Arabidopsis thaliana: one gene and its partner. The protein of the gene in region 1 purifies or fractionates together with the protein of each later gene. This does not show direct contact. Each region holds a gene or a part of one and is shown on either strand. Other genes may lie near its edges.

Region 1 (5,460 bases):
TCTCTGCGGTTAAATCTCAGCAAATTAAGGTTAGTAAACGACGAACTTTATTATCTATATCATTGACTTGCTTGTTCGGTGACTGAACAAACATTGGGTTTTGATGAACAGGAGAATATTCCCTTCTATGGAATAGATTGCAATGACGTGGGAACAAACGATATGAGGGAGCAAAATGTGTTTGAAACATTGATCGGGAAACAGCAACAAATTTTGCTAGCTACGCAAGTCGTTAAGATGATTCTAAAGATCGACGATGTCATCTCCAATTCTGAATACTGATTTGTTGCTACCTTTGTCCTAACCTTTGGCTTCTTCGGTGTTTTTTGTTTGCTTTCTATTAGCTTTTGATACCCTTCGACATCGTTATCCTTGACTTGTTCCCTTTGTTTTGCAACCTTCTATTTAAGAACATCGTCAGATCTTAATTTTTGTGTGTACTTGTCCACAGATCGAAGCACTCGTTTGCATTTTCTTTTCGATTTAGTAACTGATGCAGGTCTCATACTGTAGACTAAACTATTATCGTATTAGTGTAACACCAGTGAACGAGGACAAAAGTAATTGTTTGCTTGTACATAAGAACATAAGAAATATGAAACCAAGCTTCGAAGGCTTCAAATACCCATCTGCTATGGTCTTTGTACACAAAATCTAAACCCTGAAGACTAATGTTTCCCACTCTTAAGATCTATAAACTTCGAAATCTGTTGCAGAGGGACTACAAGGCCTGAGTACCAAGATTTCTCCTCGTCTTATTCAAATCTCAATTCCTCTTTGTTTGTTTGGCTTCGCCTTAAGACATGAAAACATGAGTCTTTACCTCTTCTCTGTTTCATGAGAATGCTGTTGTTCTGTATCATGGCCAATGCCGAATGTCCCATTCGTAGTCTCGTCCTTTTGAATGGATGGCTTCCCATTCACAGCTACTGTGCCATCGGATGTTTCATCCACAGCAGAAAGTTCTGTTTTTTTATCATCTTCAGCGACAATGGCTGTATCAGATTTTTCATCTTGTTCATGTGCTTTGTCTGTATTTTGATTAGATAGAGCTGCTTCAGCTTTCTGCCTCTCTTCTTTTTCTCGACGTCTCTTTGCTTCTTGCTCTTTCAGCAGCCTAAACCTGGGATCACATGGACGTGTTAGTACAAAAAAACAGCTTCTAGGAACGAATGATGACACATTTTAGAAGATTTGGTTACCTTTCACCAGGTTTGGGGCATTCTGGGGTCACCTTTTCACCACCCTTCTCTCTTGGTATTTTCAGTTCTGAAACAGACTTCTGAACTAGTGGTTCTGAAAAAGACTTCTCAATTTGTTGTGTTTTATCTTCCTTAGTGACCAAATTAGTGAATTTCTCCACTGGATTCTTAGCACCACCATATTTTTGAAGCCATACTTGCTGTGCCGTGCTCAAAATGTTGTTGGTCAGCCTGCAAAAACACTTTAAAACTGAGAAGAATAGCGAGTGGAAGCTGACCACTCACGAAAACCACAGAAAATTAGACTCACCAATAAAGACTTAAACCAGAAGGAACTGATAATGCAAAATAGCCAATCATCAGTGGAAGAAGCTTAGTCACTGCTTGTGAGCTCTTCATGGCTGGATCATTACTCTGACAAAAAATGATAAGAAACATAAATTTCTCTGTTGCATAGAAGGATTTCGTTGTTGATTGAATTATACTTTAATGGAATGAGCTTTCAGCACAGGCACCAATGTGGTACACATTTTCAACATAGACGTAACTACTAATAGACTATTATCACATATTCCACATGATGCTATACCTGCGAGGACTGCATAATTTGAATGGAGAGGTATTGAGAGAAGACGAGCAATAGAGGTAAGACAAGATATGCTAATGTGTCTGGCCATCCGAGAGGTGGGTGTCCCTCCTGAGAAATAAAATGGAAATTTGTAGACATCAGCGATGAGGTCCGACACCACTCCCCTCAAGTTTTCTTCAATAATTCATTTTAATCAGTTTTATATGCTTGAACAATTAAACTGAATAAGAGTTCGTAAGAACTATGAGTCTAGTCTAGATTCCATTTTCGAAATATCAAGTTTCAAATGATACTTACAATGAAAGGGAACAGCCATGAGATTCCACTGCCATTCTGTCTTGCAGCAACAGTCGTTGGACCAGCAAGAGAAGGTATCCAGAAAAAACCTTCCGTTAAGAGCCCCTAAAGTTAGAAACAAGCATCCAACTACTTGTCAAAAAAGAATCTCAAGGCACTTACAGATACAAAAGGATATAGTTATTTCCAGGTACCTCATCTGCAACATTTGAGAGGGCTCTATATAGCCCAATCCAGACAGGTATCGTGGCTAGTGTGGGGAGGCAGCCTAACAGATAAATGAAAATATAGCTTAACCATAAATGTTGTCTCAAATGGAAAAACATACGATAAGCTGAAGTAACATACTGTACCTGCAAGGGGATTTATTCCAGCAAGCTTATACAATCTAGCAGTTTCAAGCTGAATTTTCTCCTGCAAAGATAAACAAAAATAAAGAAGCTATTTGTTTAAACAAGAGGGCTATATTCATACATAGTAAAGCTATAATATTTGTTATATTCATTAGTATCCCTCCACAATTGTGGAACCAATAGCAACACACATGTTCTTACTTTTTCCTTAACTCCATCAACTAAGAATTGATGCAAACATAACTTAGTATAGCATCAGGACAAATAAAACCCATGTGTACAGTATAGAAGAATTGTTTTTCACCTGATCACCAGCATACCGTTCCTGAATAGCCTTTATTTGAGGCGTCAAAGATTTCATAGCCATGGCAGATTCAACCTGTAGAGAATAAACCACCAATTCAATAACATGGACTAAAAATGATATCATGGCTTAGCAGCAATAGAAACAAACTAAAAACCTGTTTTTTCGTCAATGGGAACGTAGCAGCCTTAACAAGCACAGTCAATAGAATGATAGCGAAACCATAGGAATAAGGAACATGTACAGTTGATAACCCATCTTTCAAAACCTGCAATCCAATTCAAAATCAATCATATAGCTACACAAAAATTCATTTCTTTCTAAACCAAAAAAGACAAAACTTTTAATACCTTGAGAATAGTTTCCATGTAATTAGCAATACCAGAGAACCAATCATTGCTCTGGGTCGTTTTGGTAGTAGTGCCGGCGACAGATTCAAAGGTTTCAGAGGACGAAACGGCGGCATCAGCGATCGTGTACAGCAGATTCTCGGCATGGTCCTTGATGAAATCAAAAGAATCTGGTCTGAACCCGAGTTGAGCTACGAGAGTCCGATAACGAGACGACGACGACGACGGTGTGTGGCTGAAACGGGAGCGGCGGAATTGGAGGACTTTGCCTGTGGAGAAAGAGGAGAGGATAAGGTGCGTCGGCTTTAGGGATATTGTTGAAGACATCTCTAGGGAGAAGAAGGAAGGAGAGTTTTAGGGTTTTGGTTGAGAAGACAAAATGGGGAAGATTTGGATTTTGTTGGCAGTATTGTTGTGTTGTTGTGTTCTTGCTTTGCGTCTCAGTGTGCGAGACCGACCGAACTGAGAAGTGGAGCAAACCAAATTTTGTTTTTCTGATTTTTTAAAACTAACAACACAAACTATATATCTCACCTTTTTTATTGACTTTTTCTAGGGTAAATATAACAACATAAACTATGGCTCCGAATGGTGACTGTGTTTTGCGATGCGGGAAAAGTGCAGTGCGGTTCAAATAATAACAAAAATACATAAATACATATATATATGTAAAAATTTTGATATTGTTACAACACTGTTACGATACGGTTTTGGATACGGTTTTAGTCACCATTCACAACCTATAAATCACTCGTTAACAACTATAACCAATTAAATTCTACAACGAAAAGTAACACTAATATCTATACCCGAACTTTGGTGGAGAAAACCATAGAGATAAACATTTCATGATTGTTAGTGATTTTTGTTTAAGTATAAAAATATGTGAAACATACGATGAAAAGACTGAAATAGTATAAATTACATCTAACAACCAATAAATCAGGAGAAAAAAAGAATAACATATATTGGAGGGTGATGAGTGATGATGGATCCGCATGTAGTAGATGTAAGTCGTCGTCATTGCCCAGCATTCACTACTGTTGCGTTTCCCATATTCACTTGTAAACTTATATTCTGTTTGAGTGGCACTGCAACCATAAATAAATATTTATATACATTAGTTAATTCAAATAAAAATTATAGTAGAAATTCAAATTAATAAGATTTATTGCAATAAGTTTATAAAAATAAAAATAAAAGGAGAATACGAACATTCTGATTCCGGGTGGCGCCTAGGTTTGATGAAATATTTCCAGACGCCCCAACCACCAGCTCCAAGACTTAACAAAGTCGGTAATGAAATTCCAAGAGGTAAAGCTAAGTTGCTGCTGCTTTTCTCCTCTCCTGATTTACCTGAAGAATCTTCATACACAAACACAAACGTACCACATATTAGACTCGAACCAACGATCTCATATCATTTGATAACAATAATAACATGATTATTAACATCCAAAGCTTCATAAATGTTTTTTTTTTATATATAAATGATATTGTTATACGACAAAAACTTTGAAAATAATCTCTAGAAATTGTCCCAAACTATATTAAGTGACTATTCTTCTAAAAGTCCTAATATGGAAAAAAACATCTTAATTAAAAAAAATATTGAGAACTGATATGCCTGCAGATTTTTCATCTTCACTAGCTTTGTTGGTTCCTCCATCTCCATTATTGCTTCCTCCTAAAATATCGTTCAAACGAAGAAAAGTGACTTATAATTTTAGTTTTCAGTTTAAGTCAATTTTCTTACGGAGCTAGTAATTTGGAGAGCATGTTTTTGACCAATCTATCTAGAAAAATGACGGCTCAAAGTCGGACTAAACCGCCTCCTAGTCGGCTATGTTTTACAATGAAAGTTTTTGGTTAAACACTTCCCATTCTTCTAACCTTTAAGCCTAGTTATGATCTTGCATGTTGATAAAAGGCAGTTGATCGTCAATAACTAGAAGCTAAATCTTGCATCCTAATTAATATACCCACACGAGTTCCTCCCTTTCAATTCAGTATCCATATATTTTAAAGAACCACTAGAGTAGAGTTACTTATATATATAGATTTATATATTAATATATAGATTGATATCTTTTCTACAAAACAAACCGTTTTCTTATTATTGTCAGAATTAGTAGCCTCTTCTATTCATTATTTATCTCAAACCAAAATTATTAAAATTAACCGTATTTTACAACATATATATAAGATAATGAAAAGAATAATTACCGGATTTGCCTCCACCACCGCCCTTGCTTGGGCTGCCACCACCACCGCCTGTGCTAGGGGGGCTGCCACTACCACCGCCAGTGCTAGGGGGGCTGCCACTACCACCACCAGGACTAGGGCTGCCACCACCGCTCGTGCT
Region 2 (7,099 bases), about 16 Mb from region 1:
ACGGATGATCTAGTCCCAGCCGATAGGTGTGAATTTTTGATGACCATTCACTAAACAAGTAACAAACGTTAAAATTTTAAAATATGATGACATCAGCAGACCCAAATTTCCTAAAAGTCCTTGCAACTCTAATAAATTCCTATTTTCTGATTTTCGTTGAAGAACGTAATGTTGAAAATTCAACAAGAATTGAGTACATTGTACTCGTTTGCAACTCATTGTGTGAGGTCTCGAATCCTTTGCTCATTTTGATTTCAAATAAAGCTTTCTTTCCCTTAATTCTTAGATTTTGAGATGGGTTGGCTGAGGAAGAAGAAGAAGCCAAAATCCGATATAGCGTCCGAGAGAGGGGCCAAGTTGTTAGAAGAGCTCATCGAATGTTGCGATGGCAAATCCAATCCCATCAAATTCTTCTCTGCTGATGAGATCCTCAAAGCCACCAACGATTTCAGCGACTCTAATTTTGTTTTACGATTAGAAGTTCCCTTCAAATGGTATTCTGGTAAGAACGAGAATCATCCCATGATACTAATCAAGAAAGATGTTGGCTGGTGGAGTGGCTTGAGAGTAGATCGTTTGTGCCGCGACATAGCAGTTTCATCGATGGTGAGTGGTCACAAAAACTTCATGAAGTTGGTTGGATGTTGTCTTGAGTTAGATTATCCAGTCATGGTGTATCATAGTGTTAAGAAACATTACAAATTAGAAATAAGTGAACAGCCATGGAAAAAGAGAATGAAGATAGCAGAAGATATCGCTACTGCTTTAGCTTACCTTCACACCGCCTTCCCTAGGCCCTTTGTATATAGGATTTTGTCTCATTGGAATATCTTATTGGATGAAGATGGTGTCGCCAAGCTGACTGATTTCTCTCACTGCGTCTCAATCCCAGAAGGAGAAACATTTGTCCGGGTTGACAGAGACGTGGGATTATATAGTTACTTTGCTGATAATTACGTTAGGAGTGGCCTAGTCTCAGATAAAACAGATGTCTTTGCCTTTGGAATCTTTATGGGTCATAGGCTTCTATTAGGATACGAATACTATTTCGAGCATTATCGAGGAGAAGAAGAAGAAAGTGAAGATGGATTTGACAGTCTGATGAAAAGACATGCTCGGAATTTGCTCTCAACATTAAAGGAAGACAGACCAATGGAAGAGATTGCAGATTCAAAGATGATAGAAAAGATGGGTCAAATTTCAGAACAAGAGCGTTGTCAAATGAAAGCTTTCTTGAAGCTATCACTGAGATGCACCGGCCCTAGTGAAGAAGTTCCAACGATGGTGGAAGTGGCCAAAGAACTAAACAAGATTCAAAGATCTCTTTTTAACGACTCTTCTTCTCTTTCTTCAGGTCAAACCCAACTCGACTCTGCCCAAGACATTTCTTCCACAGTGGTCCTCTCAAATTAGACACTGCTACCAAGTATTGCCTGCCAGGTATTTCATGAAATGTTTCAATGGGTTATGTTGAGCTGGTTTCGTTTTTTCAGGAAAAAAATCGAACAATGTGCTGAAAATAACTTCGATTCTTGTTTGTATTAAAACATTATCAAGTTTCATTTTTGTTGTTGTATTTATAAATAGTGCTACGTTACTTTTGATTCATTATATTGTCCCTTAGAGTCTGTGTATGTGTGTTTGGATTTTGATGGATGCGTCTGTGTTTGTTAATTCAAGAGATATCTACTCGTGTATTATAAGGGAAAGTCTCCCAAGTCAATAACAATTCTAAAGTTTACATTGTGAGTTGGGAAACATGGTTCATTGACGTAAGTTTGCAAATTCCAGCAACTACATATGAACAATGCAATCAATATTGAACTGTGAACTCCATGATTGTTTGGTGGATTTGGACATTCACATCTATACTAAAGTGAAACATTCATGACGGTAAACTTCTCTTGGAGCTGTATCTTGCATATTAAGAATCAAAGAATATCAGTGAATTATGATCTTCATTGTCAGCTTTGTCTTTTCAAGAGTTCTGATCTTCAGCTTTGAGTAATTTCCGTTTTCAATTCCAATAAAATATGTTTTATGAAAAAATCAATGTTATTCATCGACCAAAACGACGTAGGATAGAGAAAGAAAAATGGGAACAACATCCGAGTAGCCTCCGAGACCACAAACATCCTCCAATAAGCCAAAAGAAGACGAGAGAAGGAGAAGAGTCGAAATCGCCATTGAAATGGCTCTCAAAGCTTCACCTGTTACCGGATTATTCCCTCCTCTCCGTCCTACTGCTTCTTCTTCCCCTTCGACTTCTTCTAATCGCCCTTGTTCCCTCAGGATTCTCCCTCTCAGAACATCTTTCTTCGGTAACTCAAGTGCGTCTCCTTCTTCTCTACTTCGCTTTAGGGTTTGGCTTTATCTTCATTTCACTAGCTTGCGCCTTGTTTGGATTGCTTGGAGGAAAATAGTGCAGCTATTTGCTCAAATTGGGTAACGTGATTAGTCAGAGAGAGAATTGAAGTAAAATTGGGTATTGATTGTGCTTTTTAGTGTATGATTTGTCGATTTTGTGTTTCTTGATTTAGTATAAATGAGGTTACTCTTAGTCAGTGTCTATAACTTCAGTATGCTTTGACTGTTTCACATGTCTAACATTTAGTTCTCTTGCTTTTTAGTTATGTTGTTGGTTTGATGTTTCCATGAACTTATTGTTAGACTCAATAAAGATTATTGTTTATTTTTACAAGGTGGAGCGCTGAGAGTGAATGTGTTGAGATTAGCTTGTGATAATAGACTCAGGTGCAATGGTCATGGTGCTACTATGAATCTTTTTGAACGATTTTCTAGAGTGGTCAAGGTACTTATACCCTTTCTCATTCTGTATTTGACTGTCATTATGCATTGGAGTTCATTAATCAGTTCTCTTGTTTATTTTTCATTTTAATAAGCGAAGTCATATGCAAATGCGCTCATAAGCTCTTTTGAAGACCCGGAGAAAATCCTGGAGCAAACTGTCATTGAAATGAATAGTGATTTGACAAAGATGCGTCAAGCCACTGCACAGGTGCACTTCTTACTCTTGAACAAACTTTATACATTTTCCTGTACGATATTTTTCTTCTTCATTTTTTTACTACAGCATGGTTGGCCCCTATTTATGAGATTAGCTAACTTGTGTATTATCAACGTGTCTGAAGGTTTTAGCATCACAAAAGCAGTTACAGAACAAATATAAAGCTGCACAGCAGTCTTCTGATGATTGGTATGTGTGCTTTTGCGTGGACCTTGCTTCCATACCTAAATTCTTCTCTGAGCTGATTATTCTTACATGTTACACGTTTAAATAGGTACAAAAGAGCACAACTTGCTCTTGCAAAAGGAGATGAGGATCTTGCACGTGAGGCCCTTAAACGACGAAAGTCTTTTGCTGTAGGTTATATCTATCCATTCTTTTGTCCACCAGTTTTCTGTTTCTTAAGTTTGCTTACTCCAACAAATGAAAGACCCTAATCGTTTAGCGCATCGAGCGATTTGAGGCTGATCTCTTGGTTTTCTGCAAGGTTTAGTTAGGTGGTGGTGAAAGTAAAATGGAAAAATTTAGATATCTAAGTATTCTGTAATTCTCCTCAGGACTTGCCCCCTTTTCCAATCATTTTTTGATGCAATAGAGCTTGGCAGTGTTTATAGTACTCTTTTGAAATATATTGTTTGTTGAGTTTGTTAAGGTGATTGCAGTGACAAAAGATATTTTGGATATATATAACACTACAGATGCAGCCAAAAACGACCCTTCTGTGTTTCTACATATTAGGATGTTGACTATTGTCTTTCAGTATCAGAAAAAAAAATCAAAATCAAATTTTGGTTCTATGTAGAATTTCGGAAACAGCCAAACACGATTCTTCAGTGTTTTTTACATATCAGTATCTTGGCTATCATCTTTGATGTGCTTTTGTTTGAGCAACAGACCGTATGGCTCTTTTTCAGTTTTGTTGATTTATGTATTTGTGTAACCTTTGCAAATGGCTAACGAATAATAGGCAGGTAAATTTTCACTATCTTTTACCTGCTGATACCTTATCGACTACTGAAGTCTCTTGAATACATCCATTCTCTAACTTTATAAAGTTACCTTAAAAAAAAACTAGAACTTTAGGTTTTGAAGTTATTACCTTTTTTCTTAACAGGACAACGCTACTGCTTTGAAAACTCAACTAGATCAGCAAAAAGGTGTTGTCGACAATCTTGTTTCAAATACAAGGGTTAGTTTTCACCATATTTATCTATATATTTTGTATTTTGATTTACTATACACTGTTGGAATCTTTAGAGCTATGATTAAATGAATTTATCGTCATGCATTTACTCAATAAAACAAAGAATCATGTATACATTAATTTTCGTCATGCCACCATACAATTTGAATGGTTTAGAGATAGTACCATAGTTAAATACCTCCGTCATAAGATTCATATGCCAAGTATCTCTCTTCACGTTTTGTACTAAGGAGCTATTGTATCTCTATGGACATAATGTAGAAGATATTTTAGATTAGTATCTGTATTTTCAGAGTTCTTCCATTTCCATAGCATATGATTCTTATATTTTCTGAAATTGCTTAGGGCGAAGTTTGGTTCTTAGAAAATGAGTTCTGTAATTTTTTTGTTGTTTCCCCTTTTATTTGCAGCTCTTGGAGAGTAAGATACAAGAGGCAAAAGCAAAGAAAGATACGCTCCTTGCACGTGCTCGCACTGCTAAGTTTGTATCATTTCCCTAATACTCTTCTTTATATCATTTATGGAAGCTCGTCCATACAGAGTGTTTCTTGTCGATTTATATATTGTCCCAACTCTATTTGTTTTTTTTAATTCCTGCTAGGACTGCAACCAAAGTGCAAGAGATGATAGGGACAGTAAATACAAGCGGTGCTCTTTCAGCTTTTGAGAAAATGGAGGAGAAAGGTATGATCTCTTGATCCTCCAACTTGTCTATACGCAACCAATACCAGTTAGTCCTATTATTCCTTTCTAAATTTGAAGTTTGGCCTGTAGTTAGGATTAGCATTCAGTCTTTGAAAGTGAGTTTAGATTCCACTACTTTCTCTATGTTAGCTTGTACTACTTGCCACCTAGGCGACAGGGTTACATTAGAAATAGTGCTCAGATTCTGGGCAACGTGGATGTGGAATTAGTGTTGTAGTTACCTCATGCAAAACAATAGAACAGTAATATAATGTGTGCAATGGGACATCGGAGTAAAGGATAAACTTAGCGGAATCCTTGCTTGTTTAGATACAAGAGAGAAATGCCACTGGATAACCTTTTTTCTTATTGCTATTTCTAGCAATTCGTTTAGGTTCTGGTTGATCAATGTTAGTCCGTGCAGATATACCCTCTTATTCTTTCTGTAAATCTCTGAGTTGCTAGTATCAGAATTCCGAACGTGTAATTTTTCGTTGTGAAAGACTTCACATTCTGCTTGTTGATGAATGCTCAGTCTGATAGAGACTAAAATCTAGAAAGTGCTTGACAGTTATGGCTATGGAGTCTGAAGCAGATGCACTAACTCAGATTGGAACCGATGAACTCGAGGGGAAGGTTGGTTGTCTATCTCTTGTCTTGGTATTTCTATGAGGAGAAGAATCTTTCTTTCTCTTTTAAATTTGTTTCAGAGGTAAAATCTTGCATTGATTAGGGTTCGCTGCTTTATCTAATATCTTCTACGACTGATAGGATGGTCTAATCTGGTTTACTGTTTGTTTGTTGGTAGGAGAAGAACTTGTATATCTGCAACCATCTTGACATTAACGTGTATTTCTTTGTGACTTGCAGTTTCAAATGCTTGAAACTTCATCTGTGGATGATGATCTTGCAGACTTGAAGAAAGAATTGTCTGGAAGCTCAAAGGTTTGTAAAACGTCAATCATCTTGTTAGTTCCGTAGAGTTTATAATCTCATCATTCGCGAAAATATTGTATCCACAAGCTACCATATGTCCATATTGCAAATTACCGTCCGAAGAGACTAATGGGTTCAGCAATTTGGGATGGTTCACTAAAATCAACAATTCAAACTACTCAAATTACTTCTATGTTTACCTTACTGTCTTGTTTCATGTTTGACGATAGCCTACTTTGCTACTAACATTTTACTTCACTGAGTTAAGAGTCTGTGAAACATACATCTTATAGTTATCCTCTGTTTATATGATATGGAGCAGAAAGGAGAGCTTCCTCCAGGGAGAAGCACTGTTGCAGCAAGCACGAGATACCCTTTCAAAGACTCAGAGATCGAGAATGAGTTAAACGAACTGCGAAGGAAAGCTAACGACTTTTAGATATCGGCTGTTTCCGAATTGTGACTGGGTTACATTACGTTCCTGCTGTAAACTATCTTGTGTCTTGTAGAAAGACACAAAAAGCATGTGTACTCTTAAAGTAAATATCCAGCTATCTAATCCCCATTTATAGTTGGGTTATGTACATTCAGACACTTTTGAAAGTGTGGTTTCCATTTTGACTCACTTTGTGTCAAGTGGACACGTTTTTTTATAAGCTGTTTTACTCGCATAACCCTCTATCAGCCTCTAAGGCATAAAAGAAAGAGATTCGTCGATTTAAGATAGAAATGCTCGTCTTCCATGTTGACTTGTCTTTCCAGTAAAACATGTTGCCATATTTTCCTAGATTCCTAGCCAATCGTCTTCAGAAACTACAAGGTATGTCTATGTCTAATCAACTGTACCCTCCTCATTGGATACTTAAAGAGCTTAATAATGAGGGTTTGAAATGTTACCAAAAGTTGGTTTAGCCACAAACACAATTCTGCAAGAACTCCTTGATACTGCTAGTCCTGTTTCAACTTTCAAGCAAATATATATCTGTTTATATGATGTGGAGCAATCCTCTTTTTCCGCTAACAGTAATGTTACCAAAAGCATGCTTTCAAATCATATGAACTGGGTGTCTCAGGATAATGTGGATAAAGATCCCTTAGAGATATTACTCTTAACGAAAAAGAGGCACAATTGTGGCAAGTAGGCCATATTGAGTTTAGTTTGGAAACTAGTTGTTTTTTAAATTCGGAAACTCGAACTCGAGTGAGAGATATTTCACAAAATGATTCTTATTTAGGATATCACCCTT

Evidence for each region.
Region 2: the proteins of ALB4 (region 1) and PTAC4 purify together in Arabidopsis thaliana (affinity purification with western blotting, with the first as the bait; one study listed by BioGRID). This does not show direct contact.

The regions. Positions count from the first base shown.
Region 1 is NC_003070.9:8,680,326-8,685,785, reverse strand, and holds ALB4 (OxaA/YidC-like membrane insertion protein), read right to left. Parts: upstream 3,592-5,460; 5' UTR 3,423-3,591; coding exon 3,096-3,422; intron 3,014-3,095; coding exon 2,903-3,013; intron 2,821-2,902; coding exon 2,746-2,820; intron 2,503-2,745; coding exon 2,442-2,502; intron 2,357-2,441; coding exon 2,283-2,356; intron 2,194-2,282; coding exon 2,089-2,193; intron 1,900-2,088; coding exon 1,792-1,899; intron 1,617-1,791; coding exon 1,513-1,616; intron 1,434-1,512; coding exon 1,203-1,433; intron 1,124-1,202; coding exon 820-1,123; 3' UTR 515-819; downstream 1-514. Other genes in the region: AT1G24510 (TCP-1/cpn60 chaperonin family protein), read left to right, coding at 1-29, 112-282; AT1G24485 (ER protein carbohydrate-binding protein), read right to left, coding at 3,892-4,186, 4,307-4,460, 4,723-4,782, 5,322-5,460. UniProt on the Arabidopsis thaliana protein: Required for the insertion of some light harvesting chlorophyll-binding proteins (LHCP) into the chloroplast thylakoid membrane. Plays a role in the accumulation of some cytochrome b6f components in the thylakoid membrane.
Region 2 is NC_003070.9:24,234,138-24,241,236, forward strand, and holds PTAC4 (plastid transcriptionally active 4), read left to right. Parts: upstream 1-1,950; 5' UTR 1,951-2,191; coding exon 2,192-2,330; exon of another isoform or gene 2,331-2,485; intron 2,486-2,702; coding exon 2,703-2,812; intron 2,813-2,908; coding exon 2,909-3,019; intron 3,020-3,152; coding exon 3,153-3,217; intron 3,218-3,302; coding exon 3,303-3,384; intron 3,385-4,142; coding exon 4,143-4,217; intron 4,218-4,642; coding exon 4,643-4,713; intron 4,714-4,833; coding exon 4,834-4,916; intron 4,917-5,487; coding exon 5,488-5,552; intron 5,553-5,786; coding exon 5,787-5,861; intron 5,862-6,174; coding exon 6,175-6,291; 3' UTR 6,292-6,591; downstream 6,592-7,099. Other genes in the region: AT1G65250 (Protein kinase superfamily protein), read left to right, coding at 295-1,413. UniProt on the Arabidopsis thaliana protein: Required for plastid vesicle formation and thylakoid membrane biogenesis, but not for functional assembly of thylakoid protein complexes.